4 linked regions of the Arabidopsis thaliana genome follow. The protein of the gene in region 1 interacts with the protein of each later gene in a pairwise test. Each region holds a gene or a part of one and is shown in the gene's direction. Other genes may lie near its edges. The genes, in order: CRK10, ANT1, LAX3 and PUT2.

Region 1 (5,037 bases):
TTGCTCTTGCTATCTTGATGTTTACTTCGTCTGATCGTTGAACTGGCCCGCTGCAACATTCTGAGTGTTCCAAGTGATTATTCTAGTTGTGCGTAACACCGTAACAGTAAAAATGAGCTAAGGAAAGCGAGATGCAAGGGAGAACCAACAGAAGCATAAGTTTTTCCTCTGTTATTACTAATGGAAAAAAACTTTCTTTTTCATTTTCTAATTCCTTGTCAGATTTCTCAGCTTCTCTTCTTTTTGTTTTGTGTAAGACTTGGTCGGAGTCTTAGATTACGCTGATGATTAAAAACTACTAAAAAAGAAAAAAAAAAGAATATTACGCAAATGTTCTCGATGCATTGACCAAGTCCTCTTCTGGTTCTGGCTCCATTTTCACATGCAGGCCCATAACCAATTTTAACGAGATTTGTTGCATGAAAAGCCGATTGTTTTTCCTTGGCAGTAACGAAAAAAAATTAGTTACTTTTTAAAAACTAGGGTTTTGAATAATATCATTAAAATCAAATAGAACGAACTAGGGTTTTGGCATCATACACCGCCTCATTCAATTATTAACAAAGCTGAGTCTTCTTCACGGAGAAATCACGGCTGAGCTAGGTCTCATATACCTTGCATCAATATCTTGGGCCTTTACTAGGATCGGAGATACATCAAACATAAAATACTTCTCGGTTTTATTTTCTCTTTCCTTATGTATATGTGAATGCCTTTAAAAATTTTGATTGCCTTTTTTCTCGTTTTGGAATAGTCATGAGAAGCTGAGAACCAAAAAGGAAATATTTCTCACCTTTGCAACTAGCTAGATGGAGCTTATGGATGCAAAATTCGTTTTAAAACACATTGTATTCGGATGATGTCAAAATATTTCACATTCATATAGCAAATTCATGTTTATATATTCCGATATTAACTTTAAATATTAAAACTTATATGCTGTAGATTCATATCCGGGTGAAAACACGAAAGGACTTATGATGGAACCATTATATGGAACGACGTCATGTGGAATATCAAGTTATTTAACTTCTCGCGAGTAAGACTATAAAAAGTAATAGAATAATTAGTAACTAACAATATCAGATAACGATAGGCAGATGATTTGGTAATACTATTTTAGTATCACTACATCACAATAACCATACTAGCATATACGATATACAAATTAATAAATTATCGTGCTTAAAACAAAAACCTATTATCAACCAATAATTTCTTCGCATCAGTGGCGACAATTTTTTCAGCCCCAGAATGATTCTTTGAAGAATAGTCAACAAAGATTCCTAATTTCAACAATTCTGTTCAAGGAAAAGTACGAAACAAATTCTACTGCTAGCTAGTTTCTCTCATGTATATCTAAATTCTATTACTAGTAATTAAGATCTTTGAAATCATGCCAACTGCTACATTTATTTTCTCTTGAAAATCCCAACTACCTTTTTTTTGATCAAAAAAAAAAAAGACTTTAGAGTTCAAAGCTTGAATTTAGAGTTATTATGTTTTAAATTTTGACAGTTTTGATAATTTTCTTCATTTTAAAATGATTTTATATTTTCCGTAATTTTTTTCTATATTTCATATATTAAAAAAATAAGTAATGGATTAGTAGCTAAACACAAGAAGTTGGACAAGACCCGACAATTTAATACGAGACGCGTTGACCTTGACCTTGACTTTTCGTCAGCACAAAACGTTATCTACGGTAGTCACTGAGAGAGAACAAACAATCAAATTTGTTTCATATATCACTCAAAGCTTGATGAGAAGAAACACAGATCAAGAAAGCCCAATTATGTCTTATTACTCCTCTTTCTTCTTCCTTTTCCTCTTCTCCTTTCTCACGAGTTTCAGAGTTTCTGCTCAAGATCCCACTTACGTATACCACACCTGTCAAAATACGGCAAATTACACAAGTAACAGCACTTACAACAACAATCTCAAGACCCTTTTGGCTTCTCTTTCTTCCCGCAACGCTTCCTACTCCACCGGATTCCAAAACGCCACCGTCGGCCAAGCTCCAGACAGAGTCACCGGACTTTTCAACTGCCGTGGAGATGTCTCAACGGAAGTTTGCCGTAGATGCGTCTCCTTTGCCGTCAACGACACCTTAACTCGGTGTCCTAACCAGAAAGAAGCCACACTTTATTACGATGAGTGTGTACTTAGATACTCTAACCAGAATATTCTCTCGACACTAATAACCACCGGTGGAGTTATCTTGGTTAACACCCGGAATGTGACATCTAACCAACTAGACCTGTTAAGTGATTTGGTTTTGCCTACTCTGAACCAAGCCGCCACCGTAGCCTTGAACAGTTCCAAAAAATTCGGTACGAGAAAAAACAATTTTACTGCGTTGCAGAGTTTCTATGGACTGGTTCAGTGCACACCTGATCTCACGAGACAAGACTGTTCGCGTTGTCTCCAACTGGTCATCAATCAAATACCTACTGACAGAATTGGTGCAAGAATTATTAATCCGAGCTGTACTTCAAGATACGAGATCTACGCGTTTTACACCGAATCCGCCGTTCCACCACCACCACCACCACCGTCAATTTCTACTCCTCCAGTTTCAGCTCCTCCGCGATCTGGTCAGAGCTCTGTTTTTTTCCTCTGTTTTTTTTTTTTGCCCTGATTTCTTGAAATTGGCAAAACCAATATAGAGAGTTTTCTTCTATCTGATTTTTAAGCAAATAATCTTTGAAATGCAGGAAAAGATGGGAATTCAAAGGTGTTAGTGATAGCCATTGTTGTGCCTATTATAGTGGCTGTTCTGCTTTTTATAGCTGGTTATTGTTTCCTTACAAGAAGGGCAAGGAAGAGTTATTACACACCATCTGCATTTGCTGGTAAAGATTTCAAGTGATAAACGATCTTTAATGTCAATGCTCAGCTTGTTTTTCCTGCTTCAAAGACTTTCATTGTGTAACAGGAGATGATATCACAACAGCAGACTCACTACAGCTTGATTATAGAACAATTCAAACTGCAACAGATGATTTTGTAGAGAGTAATAAGATTGGTCAAGGTGGATTTGGTGAGGTTTACAAGGTAAATTATAGTTCCCTTGAGCTGTGTTTTTTTTTTCTTGAAATTTTAAGCCAACACTTTTGGATAATGGGATGATGCTGATGAAAACAACAGGGTACTTTATCGGATGGGACTGAAGTTGCGGTGAAGCGACTATCAAAGTCATCAGGACAAGGTGAAGTAGAGTTCAAGAACGAGGTTGTTCTTGTTGCAAAGCTACAACATAGAAATCTGGTTAGACTTCTTGGGTTTTGTCTAGACGGAGAAGAAAGAGTACTGGTCTACGAGTATGTGCCCAACAAAAGTCTTGATTACTTCCTCTTTGGTTAGTTGCATTTAATGCTTTGTTTCAATGATTCTTGATACTTGGGGTTACGAATGTTTAGAGATCTCATTGTGATTTATGGATGTGGACAGACCCTGCAAAGAAAGGCCAGCTGGATTGGACTCGACGATACAAGATTATCGGTGGAGTTGCTCGAGGGATTCTGTATCTTCATCAAGACTCACGACTCACAATCATACACCGTGACCTCAAAGCCAGTAACATTCTCTTGGACGCGGATATGAATCCTAAAATTGCAGATTTTGGAATGGCTAGGATCTTTGGATTGGACCAAACCGAAGAGAACACAAGCAGAATAGTTGGTACCTAGTAAGTCTTCCTCATAACTTCTCATAAGTTGAAGTTTTCTGAACATTCTTTTGTTAACATAGTTTTTGTTGTGGGTTTATAAGTTGAAGTTTTCTGAACATCCTTTGGTTAACATAGTTTTTGTTGTGGGTTACAGTGGTTACATGTCTCCCGAGTATGCAATGCATGGTCAGTACTCAATGAAATCTGATGTCTATAGCTTCGGAGTGTTAGTTCTTGAGATTATAAGTGGCAAGAAGAATAGCAGCTTCTACCAAACAGATGGTGCACATGACTTGGTCTCATATGTAAGTTTTAAACCTATCAAGTTCCATATTTACCTGAACATAGTTGCAAGTGTTGATTGATTGAATAATATTCTAGGCTTGGGGGCTTTGGAGTAACGGGCGACCATTAGAACTCGTGGATCCAGCTATTGTAGAAAATTGCCAAAGGAATGAAGTTGTTCGATGTGTCCATATCGGTCTTTTATGTGTTCAAGAAGATCCTGCTGAGCGTCCGACGTTGTCAACCATTGTTCTGATGCTCACTAGTAACACTGTGACTTTACCCGTGCCACGGCAACCCGGTCTTTTCTTTCAGAGTAGAATTGGAAAAGACCCGCTTGATACAGATACAACGAGCAAATCTCTTCTAGGGTCTGTTGACGATGCATCCATCACAGATATACATCCTCGATGATGATGAGTTTTTCCCTTCATACCTGATTCCTGAATCTATTGGTGTTGAAAATAAGTTAAAAACTTCTTTTGTTATAGAATGTTTGTATTGTAATTGTAACCACAAGCAAGTATAAGATATATACCATTTACACGTTTCTCCATGAAGACGTAACAGTGACTTTTCCCTCCAAATTAAGCTTACACAACGATCTAGCAGGTAATTTGATTCAGCATGAAGAGAGTAAAACCAGTAATCGAGAAACGATTCTTAAAGAACTGTGAACTGTTCATAAGCATTTTACAGTGGACACTGTACAACATACAATTACAGATAAACCTGCTATGTTTCTTATGTCCGTGGACAAATAATATAAATGTCATCTGACCATTTTTCTGTTACAACTTTTAAGCTATGATGAGGAACCACATCAATTTTTACGAACTAAATGAGGAAGACTTGCTTGTATACTGATCAGACTCTGATCCTTCAGATACCAGTTTCAGTTGCCTGCTTCGTGGGAAAAATCCCGGTAGGCGAGGCACTGGTAGAGTAATTGTGTTACTAGTCAGCATTAAGATGATTGTTGATAACATTGGACGGTCTTCTGGATTTTCTTGAACACATAACAGCGCGATATGGATGCACCTAGTGACTTCATTACTCTGATAATTCCTTCCAAAAGT
Region 2 (4,851 bases), on another chromosome or scaffold:
TGTATTGCGAATACGCATAAAACTACTCCTCTTCACACAGTGGTGCATTCTCTTCCGGTAACTGAACATTCCACTTTGCAGAAGCCTACATCTTCCCAGTCACAAGTTGAGTTAAGAGAGTCTATTGCGGATACTCATGGAACTACTCCTCTTCAAACAGAGATTTCTTCTCTTCCATTACCTCAACACTTCGTTTTGCAGAAGCCCGCAACTTCTCAATCACAAGCGGATACACACGAAACTACTCTTCTTCACACAATACTGCCTTCTCTTCCTGTACCTGAACTATGTACTTTGCAGAAGCCTGCAACTTCTCAATCACAAGCTGAGTTAAGAGCGAATACGCGCAAAGCTACTCTTGTTCACGCAGCAGCGATGCCTTCTCTTCCTGTACCTGAACATTACAGTCTACAGAAGCCTTCAACTTCTCAATCACAAGCTGAGTTAAGAGCGAAGACGCGCAAAGCTACTCTTGTTCACGCAGCAGCGATACCTTCTCTTCCTGTACCTGAACATTACAGTCTACTCAAGCCTTCAACTTCTCAATCACAAGCTGAGGTAAGAACGTTGACACACAAAGCTACCCATGTTCACACAGCGATGCCTTCCCTTTCTGTAACTGAACATTGCACTTTGCAGAAGCCTGCAACTTCTCAATCGCAAGCTGAAACTAGTCGTGTTCAAACTGTGGAACCTGAGGCCTGTCCTGATTTCACCTCAGTAGACAAACCGGAGATAGTTATGAGTCGCAGTCTCACAACCAGGAAAGCTCCAGCACCAAAGAGATCACTGCAAGAAAGTAGGAAGAATCAGGATAGAAGAGTGGAGATCCACAGGAGGCGTGCGGGTCACAAGCCCATAAGGTTTCCAAGAGTGATGTGTAGCTCTGTTGTTATGGATAATGAGAAGCTGAGAGTGTTGAATCTGGAGAAGAAGGTTGAGAAAGCGGGAGGGTTGAACGAATGGGTTGGATCTATAGGATTAGGGAGAGAGTTTGAGAGGATGTTGAGAGGACAGAGGATGAGTAAGTTTCAGATGGCGAATTTGACAATGGAGAAGCTTAAGCAGATGGGTGCTTTAGCCGTTGGGCCAAGAAGAAAGCTTATACATGCAATAGGTTGTGTCTATCACCCACATTGTCTACGTGCTTCCTTTAACTGAGAACTATCTGTTAGAGTTTAGTTGAGGCCAATAAAACTTAGCTTACGCTTTATTGATGTTCAACTAGTATTGTTTTGGTTATTGATACTCTTTGGACCATATATGTAAAACAGAGCAACAATCCACTGTTTGATGTGATCATTGCATCGTGCTATTTTGTATTTGACTATTTGGGGATCAGTCGTCTATTAGCGTTGCACATGCAATATCATTATATTGCTTCTTCTTCTTTTTTTCAATCACTAAAGGATCTAGAACCAGAAACAAAAAGTCCAAAATTCAGGTTAATCATTATAGTTTTGCTAATTGGAAACGTATGCAATGACTAAACATAAAATTTATAGTAGAAACACTAGAACCCTAATTCTTCAATTTCAACATAAATCTTTCAATTTGAGTGGAATCATTCAAAACTTGATTCCCCTAACTTGAAAGTAATTATTTGAATGTAAGAATTAAAAAAAGCGTATTTTGTAAAGTATCACGACTAAAACATGCTAGTTGAGTTAAACCTTCATAAAAAATGAAACATATTATTTGAGTTTCGAGAAAGAAAAAAAAAAAACATTTTATTTGAGTTGTCGCAGACACGATCACGATGTACCCTATATATAGTTCCAATTAGCATTATTTATCCCATCAACAACAACTATTATGTCAGAAATATTGAATTAGTAAAAGAAACAAATCTTATCTGGGCCATCCATTTGCACACAGACCAATGGACGTAGAGCGTGGTAGGCACGAGCCAGATGTGAGGTACCTTGAGGTGCCACGTCACATTGAGGAATCTTTGGCGGGGTTTCATTGTTTACCTATAAAAATGGCGGCCGCAAAGTTTCGTACGTCTCCGATGTTTCAATCGTGAAATCGAAACAAACAAAATAATTAAAAAAAGAAATAAGAGGAGGCGATGGCGATCAAAGACCTGACGGCGACGACCGGTGATTCATCTCTTCCTTTAATAAAATCTCCGCCGTCTGAAACAACCGGCGGTGACAGAACCTCTGCTCTTCAAACGCTCGGTAACATTATCGTCTCCATCGTCGGTACAGGCGTCCTTGGTCTTCCTTACGCATTCCGCATCGCCGGTTGGTTAGCCGGATCTCTCGGTGTCATTATCGTCGGATTCGCCACCTATTACTGCATGCTCCTCCTCGTTAGTATACCTTTTTCCAAATCCTTAAATTGAGTATAATTTATTGACTTCTCCAATCGACTTCAACAACGTAATCTAATTGGATTGTTTTAATATGCAGATTCAGTGCAGAGATAAGCTAGAATCGGAAGAAGGAGAAGAAGAATCGAAAACTTATGGTGATTTAGGTTTCAAATGTATGGGAACAAAAGGTCGATACTTAACCGAATTCCTCATTTTCACTGCTCAATGTGGTGGATCAGTAGCGTATTTAGTGTTCATAGGTCGAAACTTGTCATCCATATTTAGTTCGTATGGGTTAAGTATGGTTTCTTTCATATTGATTCTGGTTCCAATCGAAGTTGGATTGTCGTGGATCACTTCTTTATCAGCTCTCTCGCCTTTCAGTATCTTTGCTGATATATGCAACATCATAGCAATGTGTTTTGTTGTCAAAGAAAATGTGGAAATGGTGATTGAAGGAGACTTCTCGTTTAGTGATAGAACTGCTATTTCGTCTACCATTGGTGGTTTACCTTTTGCTGGAGGAGTTGCGGTGTTCTGTTTTGAGGGTTTTGCAATGACGTTGGCTTTGGAGAGTTCTATGAGGGAAAGAGAAGCTTTCCCTAAATTGTTAGCTAAAGTGCTTGCCGGGATTACGTTTGTCTATGTGTTGTTCGGGTTTTGTGGTTATATGGCTTATGGTGATCAAACAAAGGATATCATCACTCTTAACCTCCCAAATAATTGGTCTGCCATTGCTGTTCAGGTAAAATTATGCCAATTCTAATGTTTTTACTTCTTCTGGGAACTTATGTTTCTCGCATTTCATTATGATTATAGATTCATATGCTCTGTTCTTGCTTATGATAACCATTTTCAATAGATTTGTGTGGAAACTTGTTAATCATTTGAATTCAACACTTTTTCTGTTGTTTTTGGTTTAAACAGATTGGGTTATGTGTGGGATTGACGTTTACATTTCCGATCATGGTACATCCGCTTAACGAGATCATAGAGCAGAAACTGAAGAGGATAGACTGGCTTCAAAAGCATCATAATGGGTACAGCAACGAAACAGGTTCAGTCTCAAAATTTGCAATCTTTACAACGAGGACACTTTTGGTGGTAGGACTTGCAGCAATCGCGAGTTTAGTCCCAGGGTTTGGTACATTTGCATCTCTTGTTGGAAGTACTTTGTGCGCACTCATCTCCTTTGTGTTGCCGGCTTCTTATCACCTCACGCTGCTCGGTCCATCACTAAATGTATGGAACAAATCCATCGACGTATTCATTGTGATTTGCGGGTTGATCTTTGCTGTTTATGGTACGTACAACACAATCGTCGGAGTGTGAAAAGGGATAGCATGTGATCTGTGTAAAGCAACGAATATAACTACAAGAAGTTTGGTAAGACAGACAAGAAAAAATGTATAGATCTTTTACATGAATCTGAAATAGAAAGATGGTGAGAAAGTTGAGATTGTTGTATGATCATTTAATGGTGTCAGGATGCAGAGTCTTAAACAATTAACACACCGATTTTCTTTTTTAGTCTTCCTAATTCAATTTTCCAGATTTTGTTTTTATTTTTCTTTAATTTTTAAACTTAAGTATGAAATTGGTAATCCTAATCAATTTTTCTGTTACTCAGGTAACTAAAACCACTAATGAAAACTCGACCCACGCGCTGTTGGTCCTCTTATGTTTTCATTTATGCAAAAAAAAAACAAATCGGAGGGTTATATAGTCCACGGATTTTTGTCTCACGCGCTAAACGCGCTTAAGGTGTGCGTGTTTTGATTCAGTTCATACACGCGTGTAGTTTTTTTTTAAAATCTTTTTAATTTCCGTATTTAATCGTTTTAAGGCGCAAACGATGGACTTCTCTTGGGCTTTTCTTAGTTTTCGTTTAACTTGTTGGCCCATATATGATCTGTTTCTTTTTTGTTTTTCGCCAACCATATATGATCTGTTTATTATCAATAAAATTTCACTTCAGAGATGGAAAAAAAGGAAGTAACGATCCCATGCCAAAAGAAAAAAAAAAAAAGAAAAAAAAAAAAAGAAAAGAAAAGAAAAGGCGATGCATTACCAACTTTTTTAATATTGATCCTCACCATCGAAACCTCATTATGCGTCTCGCCGGAGCTCGCCGGAGCTCGCCGGAATATACTTTTTGACTCCCAGTCATTATGCGTGGATCTTTTACATGAATCTGAAATAGAAAGATGGTGAGAAAGTTGAGATTTGTTGTATGATCATTTAATGGTGTCAGGATGCAGTCTCTTAAACAATTAACACACCGATTTTCTTTTTTAGTCTTCCTAATTCAATTTTCCAGATTTTGTTTTTACTTTTCTTTAATTTTTAACTTAAGTATGAAATTGGTAATTTTTCAATTTAATTAAACTTAATTTTTAATTCAATTTTTCTGTTACTCAGGTAACTAATTTCTTATGCACTAAAATCACCTAACTAGCTTGAAACAAAAAATAATTTAGAGTTAAGAGTTTGGAGAGAGAATGGGCAATAGGTTGTGATTTATACCA
Region 3 (5,318 bases), on another chromosome or scaffold:
GAAACGAATTGGCATCTTTACTAGAAAATATTTTAGGATCAAATGTAATGTTATTTTCTGATCTTGAAGTGAGACTGGCTTTTTAAGGGAGGAAGAAAGAATAACTTGCATGGAGAGTCTATCGGTACAATTATAATAATCGGTTGTAGTACTATATGTGTTTTCAAATAATTAAGGTTCCTTGTTTTGGAATATGGGAAAGAGTTAGTTAGTGTTATTCGTTTCCTGATGTTTCATGCAAGTATTCTTTGGGATGCTGTTAAGGTAATCAAAGTCCAAATGGCCAAGGATCTATACTGTATGTGGCTTTTTATCTGTCTATTTGTATCTTCTATTATTGAATTTGGATAATCTTGTTGATATTGATTATTTTAGCCTTCATGTCATGGGTCAATTCATCTACCTACTGATATATTAGGCCTAATTAATGAATCATATGGCCCATTTATGTCGAACTCAATCTCAATTGTTCGGTCCATTCTTATATTCTGCTTTTTGAATATTACACCATTAATAAATTTGTATAGTCATGATCCTTTTTTTGGTTAAACAGATTTTCTGACGAAGATAAATTGATGAAAATCAAAACAAATCTCACAATCTTTGTCGTTATGGGAACCATCTGTAACCATCCAGTAGAATCGAGTTCCTGGTTTCAAGATGTCAAATTATTTAACTACAATGACTCGCCATTTTTTCAGTATTATTACCAATGATATCTGAATATCTGCTCTATTTAGGGACGACAATATTATATCTTTTGGAGATATCTCAATAGCCTAAATAAGGTTGAATCACAAAAAAAAAAAAAAAAAAAAAAACATTTGAAAATGCATATTTTAATGTCAATTGGCGATGAGTCTTCTTTCCGCTGCCATCCATTTTGGCCGGGTTAAAAAGCTATAAAGATCTAAAATGATGATACCTTCTCATTAATAATTCGATCCATTGTAAAAGTATGGGGCTAAAAAGGAGACATTTCTAAGAAATTAGTGAGTTAAATAAAGCTTAGACAGCTAGACACGTGTGGTAATTATGTTTACCACTAATCCCACCTGATTAGCAATCATTCTTTCCATTGGATCCATCTCCAATCCTCGATTACCTCACAAATCACTATTTCTTCCTCTCTTTTAACCAAGTTTTTCTACTTCTAAATCAAGCGTTTGGATGTGCGATGCCATATGGTAGACAAAGGCATAAATTTATGTAATTTCGAGTTCCAGGTAACAGCTATGTAATATAATCGGACAAAACATAAAAACTTAGAAATATAATTGATTATTCTACATAAAGATCGTTATCATCCTCATCACAAGAAGGAGGAAAGGACCAATATGTTTTATTCATTGTTTCTAGTTGTTACAATCATCATGATTCAAATAATTGTTAATGATAATAATAGTTTAGCCTTTCTTTCAAAAAAAAAAAACATCATTGTCATCACTTCTATTTTCAATTTACAATTAGTCTACTCTCACTACTTTAAACTTTAAAATCTATAATTAGCTAACCCTCTTTTTTTGCATATTATCGGGGTCAATATATAATTAACAATCTCAAACCGGGCCTACCCGTTCGTGTAATGCTCCAGAAATATGGCCCATAAGCCCAACAATCAAATCAAGCCCATTAAAAAAACAACGCCACGCTCGCCGAAAACAGTAACAGTCACAAGTAGGTGACATAACTCAGTCACCAACCAATCATAAACCGATATCCCCATGACAACTCGTGAGCTGTGACTAAAGACTTCGTCCCCCGACACTCGTTACTCAATAATTGCACACAGAGCAAAAGAAAGGAAACAAAACCCATAAAACAAATAAATAAATGAAAAAGCTTTTCACTAGTCTATTTAAAGAGTGGAAGTAAAGAAGCTAAAGAAACTGAGAGAAGAAGAGAAAAATGGCGGCAGAGAAAATAGAGACAGTGGTCGCAGGGAATTACTTAGAAATGGAGAGGGAAGAAGAAAACATAAGTGGTAACAAGAAATCTTCAACTAAAACAAAACTCTCTAATTTCTTCTGGCATGGTGGTTCTGTCTACGATGCTTGGTTTAGTTGTGCTTCAAATCAGGTATGTACTTCCCACAGATTTAGTCTTATATATAGATGTGTATGTATCGTCTTCTATAGCTAAATTGTTATAAAAATGGCAGGTGGCACAAGTTCTGTTGACATTACCATACTCGTTCTCACAACTTGGGATGATGTCGGGAATTTTGTTTCAACTCTTTTATGGATTAATGGGAAGTTGGACTGCTTATCTCATTAGTGTTCTTTACGTTGAATATCGAACTCGTAAAGAACGAGAAAAATTCGATTTCCGTAACCACGTTATTCAGGTTTTATTCCACCTCTAATTCTTGTGACTCGTTATAATTTTTTATTTTTTTGGTGGTATTATTGAATTTTAACTTTTTGTTTTTTTTTGTTTGTGTAAAAAAGTGGTTTGAGGTGTTAGATGGATTGTTGGGGAAACATTGGAGGAACCTTGGATTGATCTTTAACTGCACTTTTCTTCTCTTTGGATCTGTTATTCAGCTCATTGCTTGTGCTAGGTAAATTAATAATCAATGTTCATTTTCTTTATTATATGGTTTTTTCATATTGAAAATTAATTAATATAAAAAATGATTTGCAGCAATATATATTATATTAATGACAAATTGGACAAGAGGACATGGACATACATATTTGGGGCGTGCTGTGCAACAACTGTTTTTATTCCTTCCTTCCACAATTATAGAATTTGGTCATTCCTCGGACTCGCTATGACCACTTACACTTCTTGGTATCTCACCATTGCTTCACTCCTTCATGGCCAGGTCATTATAATTAACACAAATCTTGTTTTGATTATTATAAGATATAGACATATAGTCCTGGTTATTGTTGTTTAATATATTTATTTTTCATATAAAAAAGGCTGAGGATGTGAAACACTCTGGTCCAACCACAATGGTGCTTTACTTCACCGGAGCCACCAACATTCTCTACACCTTTGGTGGCCACGCCGTCACAGTGTAAGTATTTTTTTTTTGTTTGGAAAAATAAAATGGCTTAATTAATGGCTTAACTAATTATGTATTGGAAATTTGAAAAAATATAATAGGGAGATAATGCACGCTATGTGGAAACCGCAAAAGTTCAAGGCGATATATCTACTAGCGACCATATATGTACTAACGCTAACGCTACCATCCGCGTCTGCGGTTTATTGGGCGTTTGGCGATAAGCTACTAACTCATTCCAATGCGCTCTCTCTTCTCCCTAAGACTGGTTTTAGAGATACCGCAGTGATCCTCATGCTCATTCATCAATTTATAACGTTCGGATTCGCGTCTACACCGTTATATTTTGTGTGGGAGAAATTGATAGGTGTGCATGAGACGAAGAGCATGTTCAAAAGAGCCATGGCTAGATTACCCGTGGTTGTACCCATATGGTTCTTAGCCATTATCTTCCCCTTTTTCGGACCAATCAATTCCGCGGTCGGATCTCTCTTAGTTAGCTTCACTGTCTACATCATCCCCGCATTGGCTCATATGCTTACCTTTGCTCCTGCTCCTTCAAGAGAGGTTAGATTTCCAACTTCCAAAATATCTATTTTAAAATTATAATTGTTTCATAAAAAGCTTGTTACAATTTTAGTATAAGTTTACAAAGAATAATTGGAAATAGTATATTATTAGTTTATATTAAAATTATTATATAGTATCATAGATTATGTAAAAATAGCTAAAATAATATTTTGGTATATCTAATTTTTGTTAAGTTTGATATATCGTAAATAGAATGCGGTGGAGAGGCCACCGAGAGTGGTAGGAGGATGGATGGGGACTTACTGCATAAACATATTTGTGGTGGTTTGGGTATTCGTAGTTGGGTTCGGGTTTGGAGGATGGGCAAGTATGGTCAACTTTGTTCGCCAGATCGACACTTTTGGTCTCTTTACCAAATGCTACCAATGCCCTCCTCACAAGCCATGATATACAAATTTGCCATTCAAGACCTTCTAGAAAGAGAGTTTCATATAAGGGGGTTTTGATTTCGAGATCTAATATATATAAGTTACTACATCCAATTTTTTTTTAGTATTTATTAAAAATCACATCTCTTTGTAATTGTTTGACGACAATAATCTTTTACCTCGGGTTTGTTTAATTTGTTATGTTGAGTTATTTTTGGTAAATTGGGTTTTTTTTGTTCCTTAGTTAAGGTGTGATGGCTATCTTAGGCCAACCCTATTATTATTTAGTGTTCTTCTATAGCTCAAGAAAGTTTCATGTGTGTTTTGTGTTTAATGATCTCGTTATTCTCTTTTACTGAGATTTAATTTCATCGTCATTTGAAGTGCACTGAGTTTTTGATGAAAATTGACTATAAATTCTGCGATCAGTCCAAATGAAATGATATGGAAATACATGATTTAAAATCATACAACCTCGTGCATCTATACTCTATAGTAAAATAAATTTATGTGGGTAAGATTATGAGAGTTTTATTTTAGAATACATTAGATTATCTTTGAAGCAATCAAATATTGATCTAAATTAACTTTTTTTCTTCTGAATGTGAGTGATCCCGATCTGAATCCATCATGGGCAAATTAGCATCACATCACAAAAAGGGAAATGAAAGGCGTATCTTTATAAAAGAAGCAAAAGGCAATGGCAGGCTCTGTGTCAGTGTTGTTAGTACATAATTAGGCAGACTTTTTACACCAATTGATTCAATGGTTGGTGCTTGGTAAAGTCAAATAACTGATCAATCACATATGATTATTCGTTTAGTTAGATCATTTTTAAATAAAACCAAAATTGGTTACAAATTTTGATAGATGTATCACAAACAAAACAAAAATAAAGATGAAATAGTAATTCATCGCGATATCATCATTGAATAAAAACAATCAGAGAAGTAAACATATATTAGAAAAAAAACTTAAAGATGCAATAGTCATAGAAAACTCTAAAAGATCATTTAAATGAAACTAGTACTTAATACACTGCTCTTGTTAGTTCATGATTTGAACTAGTTTTCATATGACGTAATTAAGGAACAAGGTAGACAACAACAACAACATAAGCGATATATCGATATAGCTCGTAATAATTAAGTTGGAACAAACTCACTATCATAGTACCATGTCTACCCGAAAACTGACATTTGGGTTGAGTTTGCGAGATGGTTACATTTGACTAACAACTTCATATTATTATTAGGTACTATCGAAAATGAAACCTTTTTGGGGGTCAAAATCCAAAAAAAATGAAAATCAGTTTTTAAAAAAGCATTTAAACTCATAAAAAT
Region 4 (4,662 bases), on another chromosome or scaffold:
TTTATTCATAATTTAAGCTATGAGAAATGTGAACAACGGTTAATTACATTTGAAACCGGTTGAGGTTTTTTCACCACTCCAGAATAGTGAACTAATTCCAAATCTTAATTTATAAAATGTCAGTTTAAAAACAGTATAATCAATGTTAAATGGTTAATTCTCTTGTGCCCACAAAAAAAATAAAGTGGTTAATTATTATAAAGAAAAGCCAACCCAAACCGGTTGAGACTTTGTTCGAGAGAGTATAGAGAGACGACTAGTGTTTTATTAAGGATATTTGGTATTGATTTGTAGCTTTAGGGGGTGTTATTAGTTAATGGATTTTAATAGAATTGAAATCCAACACTAATCCACTGTTATTTAACTAATGATTTTAAATCCAGTTTTAAAATTTAGTGTTATTAGAACTCATTTTTGTAAATTATGCTTAATAGATTTTAAAGTTTAGTGTTATTCAATTAAGATTTTAAATATTTCATTAAAATCCAGTGTTATTCAAAACTAAAATACTGGTAAAATTTTTGTATATTAATTCATTTGAAATGAAATCTCTTTGTAAAATTCTTGGACATATTGCAGAGATTTTAAAATTCATACAAACATATTTTTAAAAGCAATATCAGAAAACAAATCTAAAGTTTAAAGAATTGACTTTAACTCTATAATTGAATAACACCACTTTAAATTGGCGAAAAGCTAAAGAGAATTAGTTGGAACAAAAGCCACAATACTTTGTGTACAGATTAAAAGATTATTTTTTCCAGTTGTGAAAATCCAAAACTCTTTACCAAAAAAAGCCTGCCGTATGTATATAAAGAAGAGAATTTGTTGGTGATAAGATTTCTTTAATTTGAGGCTACACAAAAGGAAGATATTTGAAGTTTTCTCTTGTTTGATTGGTAAGAAATAGTTGTACCGTATTATCACGACATACGGCAATTGCTACATGTGTATCGTGGTACAAACCCAATTAAAGGCTAGCCACTACCCACAAACACCGATCCGTATATAATTTAGTTTTTGAACACGTGCCTAAATTTAATCATGTATTGTTGTCCTTGTCCAATTTAAACAAGGGACCCATGAATTCAACAACCAAAATTCTAATTTTTTTTGCCTGAATTACTTTTTTTTTGGCTTGTTCAATTATCATTTGGGTAATTATTTTTCAAAATACAGTATATATAATATAGGCTTTGAAAGGTTGGTTCATATGATGCAAATTAGACCATGCGTAGTTGCGTATATTATTTTGGTAAGTAAAATGTTTGACTATAGTATAGAACAAACAATAGACAATAGTCTGCACTACAACATAGAATGGTACATTGGTGTCAAGTTTATGATGGGGTACAATGATTTTGGAGAGTGAATGCAAAAAACAAACCAAATAGTTATTATATACAAGTGCCTACTAGTATGAAATTTTTAAATCCCCAATCTTACATATTGGTCCGCAATTGCGAATCATGAATTAAGTGTGGATTGATCTAACTTTAATCCGATCCGCAATACACTAGGTAACCATTCAAAGTTTAATAGTGGTATATGAATTCCATATCTTTTGTTGGGTTAAAAAAAAAAAAAATCTCATACTATATTTCATATATTATGTACATTTTCATTTTGGTTTGAAGTTTCTAAATCATGTGTATTTGGTTATTTTCTAAAAAAAAAAGCATTAGTGAAGAGCTTTCTTCCTCAATTTATAGCAATTTAGTAAACTAATTAAGACTCTCAATTAGATTTTTGTAGTATAAAAAGCACATACGCAAATTTGAGATCCAGATTCCATCTTCCATGATCTCTCACACATTGTAAAAACATTTCTTCCGAGAAGCAAGAATCTTTTTAAAAAGCCACTCGATGACACGAGGCCAAATATATCTGTTTTTCCAATATATAAATAATTGTAATTCATTCTTTTGAAATCTGGGTTTATTCGACAAAAAGGGCTTTGTTTTGTTTTCTTCTTCAAGTATCTCTGGATCGTTCCAAAAGCTTTCATTATTCATCAACTTAACGAACGACGGAGATCTCAAGACACGACCCTCGATTCTCTCACGGTTCGTGCTTCTTCACCTCTCGTAAAGATTTATTCTTTTGTCATCGTTCACTAATTTTGACTTTTGAGTGATCTAGTTCTGAGATCTTTTAGTCTAAGCTCCTTTTTCGTTCTTTTGGATTTTGTTAATGCATATTGAAGATACCCATCTGAGAAAAGTAATAAAAAACTGTCCTTTTTTGCTTTCCCAATTACAACGAACCCTAAATTCAAAATTCAGAATCTGTAGCAAATTTGAGTAATTTATAAGGATTGTTGCAGATAACGAAAACCTTATTGGGATGTGGGAGAGTTCTAATCCGTTTAAAATCTGGATGACGTTATGCAGAAGCGGAGAATCATCACTGTGAACCCCTCCGCGTCTATTGAGATGAGTCAGTACGAGAATAATGAAGTTCCTTACTCAAGTGTCGGTGCTGATGAGGTTCCATCATCACCGCCTAAAGCTACCGATAAGATTCGGAAAGTTTCCATGTTGCCACTTGTTTTCCTCATATTCTATGAAGTCTCAGGAGGTCCTTTTGGTGTAGAGGATAGTGTGAATGCAGCAGGACCATTATTAGCTCTTCTAGGGTTTGTGATCTTTCCTTTCATTTGGAGTATCCCTGAGGCTTTGATTACTGCGGAGATGGGAACAATGTATCCCGAGAATGGTGGTTATGTTGTGTGGGTTTCCTCTGCTTTGGGACCTTTTTGGGGGTTTCAGCAAGGTTGGATGAAATGGCTTAGTGGTGTTATTGATAACGCTTTGTATCCTGTTCTGTTTCTTGACTATTTGAAGTCTGGAGTCCCGGCTTTAGGTAGCGGTTTACCGAGAGTTGCATCGATCTTGGTGCTGACTATTTTGTTGACGTATCTGAACTACAGGGGACTAACTATAGTTGGTTGGGTTGCTGTGCTTATGGGAGTTTTCTCCATCCTTCCGTTTGCTGTGATGGGTTTGATTTCGATTCCGCAGCTAGAGCCTTCGAGATGGCTTGTGATGGACTTAGGGAATGTGAACTGGAATTTGTATCTTAACACGCTTTTCTGGAATCTAAACTATTGGGACTCGATTAGTACACTAGCTGGTGAAGTTGAAAACCCCAACCATACACTTCCAAAGGCTTTGTTTTATGGTGTGATCTTAGTTGCTTGTTCTTACATCTTCCCTCTTTTGGCTGGAATCGGGGCAATCCCGCTAGAGCGTGAGAAATGGACAGATGGGTATTTTTCTGATGTGGCCAAAGCTCTTGGTGGAGCGTGGTTGAGATGGTGGGTTCAAGCGGCTGCAGCTACATCAAACATGGGAATGTTTATAGCCGAGATGAGTAGTGACTCTTTTCAGCTTCTCGGAATGGCTGAGCGCGGTATGCTTCCCGAGTTCTTTGCCAAAAGGTCACGTTACGGGACACCTTTACTAGGGATTCTGTTTTCAGCGTCAGGTGTTGTTCTCTTGTCTTGGCTAAGCTTTCAAGAGATTGTAGCTGCAGAGAACTTACTCTACTGCGTTGGTATGATCTTAGAGTTTATAGCGTTTGTTAGAATGAGAATGAAACACCCTGCTGCATCAAGACCGTACAAGATACCTATTGGAACCACAGGTTCGATCCTCATGTGTATTCCTCCAACCATACTGATCTGTGCTGTTGTAGCACTCTCGTCTCTTAAAGTAGCTGCAGTGAGCATTGTGATGATGATCATTGGTTTCCTGATACATCCTTTACTGAACCATATGGATCGAAAGAGATGGGTCAAATTCTCCATCAGTTCTGACTTACCGGACCTTCAACAGCAGACTCGGGAATACGAAGAAACTCTAATACGTTAAGAATGTCCTTAGTTATTTCCCTCGTCTATGTTAAGTACAGAGCTTGGAAGCTATAGCCAAAAAAGCTTAATTTCTCATAGTCTGTACTCTGTTTTATTCACAGCTTGTTCTAAAGTTGTAGTTTTTTCGTAAAGTTAGGTCATCGTTAGCACGGTTCCAATAAAATGTGCAATGTTTGTATCTCTGTTATGTTTTTGTCGTTGCCATTGTCGATTTGAAACATGGCTTTGGAAATTTGAAGTCTTTGAACAAAACCTTCGATCAAAGTCTGGTCAACAGTTGCAAAGCTTGGATCTTTGGATAAGTTTTCATCACCAATGATTGGAAAGAGAGAAAAAACCCTCACAAAACCCCAAAAAGCAGTATCAGTGTTTGACACGCAAACAAAATCGCTATAGTCTCAATTGATCGGAGGTTCTATCACCATCGTCTCCATCTGCATAATTTATTAAATATTTAGGACTTGTCATTGATATGGACACTCTCAAAACAGAGAACCACAATTTCTTCAATCCTTTCCAGGATATGACAAGTACAACGATATGGGTGAGTTTTGTTTTCTTCTTAAAGCATCGCTCAATCTTCAGACAACCCTAGATTCTCTCACGGTTTGTACTTCTTTACCTCTCGTAAATGTTTAGACTTTCGTATAAGGATCCAAGAATTTATCTGATTGTTTTTTTTTCTTTGTTTCTTTGTGTTGATTCAGAAGGGAAGTATCATTAGTTCATTACCATGGGAGACTATAACATGAATGAATTTGCTTATGGTAATCTTTACGATGATG

Evidence for each region.
Region 2: the proteins of CRK10 (region 1) and ANT1 interact in a protein complementation assay, tested with the Arabidopsis thaliana proteins (one large-scale study listed by BioGRID).
Region 3: the proteins of CRK10 (region 1) and LAX3 interact in a protein complementation assay, tested with the Arabidopsis thaliana proteins (one large-scale study listed by BioGRID).
Region 4: the proteins of CRK10 (region 1) and PUT2 interact in a protein complementation assay, tested with the Arabidopsis thaliana proteins (one large-scale study listed by BioGRID).

Annotation. Positions count from the first base shown.
Region 1 is NC_003075.7:12,136,409-12,141,445, forward strand, and holds CRK10 (cysteine-rich RLK (RECEPTOR-like protein kinase) 10), read left to right. Parts: upstream 1-1,586; 5' UTR 1,587-1,762; coding exon 1,763-2,597; intron 2,598-2,717; coding exon 2,718-2,855; intron 2,856-2,938; coding exon 2,939-3,057; intron 3,058-3,150; coding exon 3,151-3,361; intron 3,362-3,453; coding exon 3,454-3,691; coding exon of another isoform or gene 3,692-3,692; exon of another isoform or gene 3,693-3,823; intron 3,824-3,827; coding exon 3,828-3,978; coding exon of another isoform or gene 3,979-4,038; exon of another isoform or gene 4,039-4,054; coding exon 4,055-4,372; 3' UTR 4,373-4,514; downstream 4,515-5,037. Other genes in the region: CRK11 (cysteine-rich RLK (RECEPTOR-like protein kinase) 11), read right to left, coding at 4,789-5,037.
Region 2 is NC_003074.8:3,756,449-3,761,299, forward strand, and holds ANT1 (aromatic and neutral transporter 1), read left to right. Parts: upstream 1-2,003; 5' UTR 2,004-2,074; coding exon 2,075-2,320; intron 2,321-2,420; coding exon 2,421-3,068; intron 3,069-3,250; coding exon 3,251-3,655; 3' UTR 3,656-3,709; exon of another isoform or gene 3,710-3,930; intron 3,931-3,953; 3' UTR 3,954-4,303; downstream 4,304-4,851. Other genes in the region: AT3G11890 (Sterile alpha motif (SAM) domain-containing protein), read left to right, coding at 1-1,161. UniProt on the Arabidopsis thaliana protein: Translocates aromatic and neutral amino acids such as tyrosine, tryptophan, phenylalanine, histidine, proline, leucine, valine, glutamine, as well as arginine. Transports the auxins indole-3-acetic acid (IAA) and 2,4-dichlorophenoxyacetic acid (2,4-D).
Region 3 is NC_003070.9:29,199,908-29,205,225, reverse strand, and holds LAX3 (uncharacterized protein), read left to right. Parts: upstream 1-1,807; 5' UTR 1,808-1,908; coding exon 1,909-2,079; intron 2,080-2,161; coding exon 2,162-2,347; intron 2,348-2,450; coding exon 2,451-2,563; intron 2,564-2,646; coding exon 2,647-2,830; intron 2,831-2,930; coding exon 2,931-3,028; intron 3,029-3,117; coding exon 3,118-3,583; intron 3,584-3,799; coding exon 3,800-3,994; 3' UTR 3,995-4,809; downstream 4,810-5,318. Other genes in the region: AT1G77700 (Pathogenesis-related thaumatin superfamily protein), read right to left, coding at 1-78, 404-479. UniProt on the Arabidopsis thaliana protein: Carrier protein involved in proton-driven auxin influx.
Region 4 is NC_003070.9:11,418,088-11,422,749, reverse strand, and holds PUT2 (Amino acid permease family protein), read left to right. Parts: upstream 1-1,788; 5' UTR 1,789-2,066; intron 2,067-2,326; 5' UTR 2,327-2,387; coding exon 2,388-3,875; 3' UTR 3,876-4,161; downstream 4,162-4,662. Other genes in the region: PUT1 (Amino acid permease family protein), read left to right, coding at 4,611-4,662. UniProt on the Arabidopsis thaliana protein: Probable cell membrane polyamine/proton symporter involved in the polyamine uptake in cells.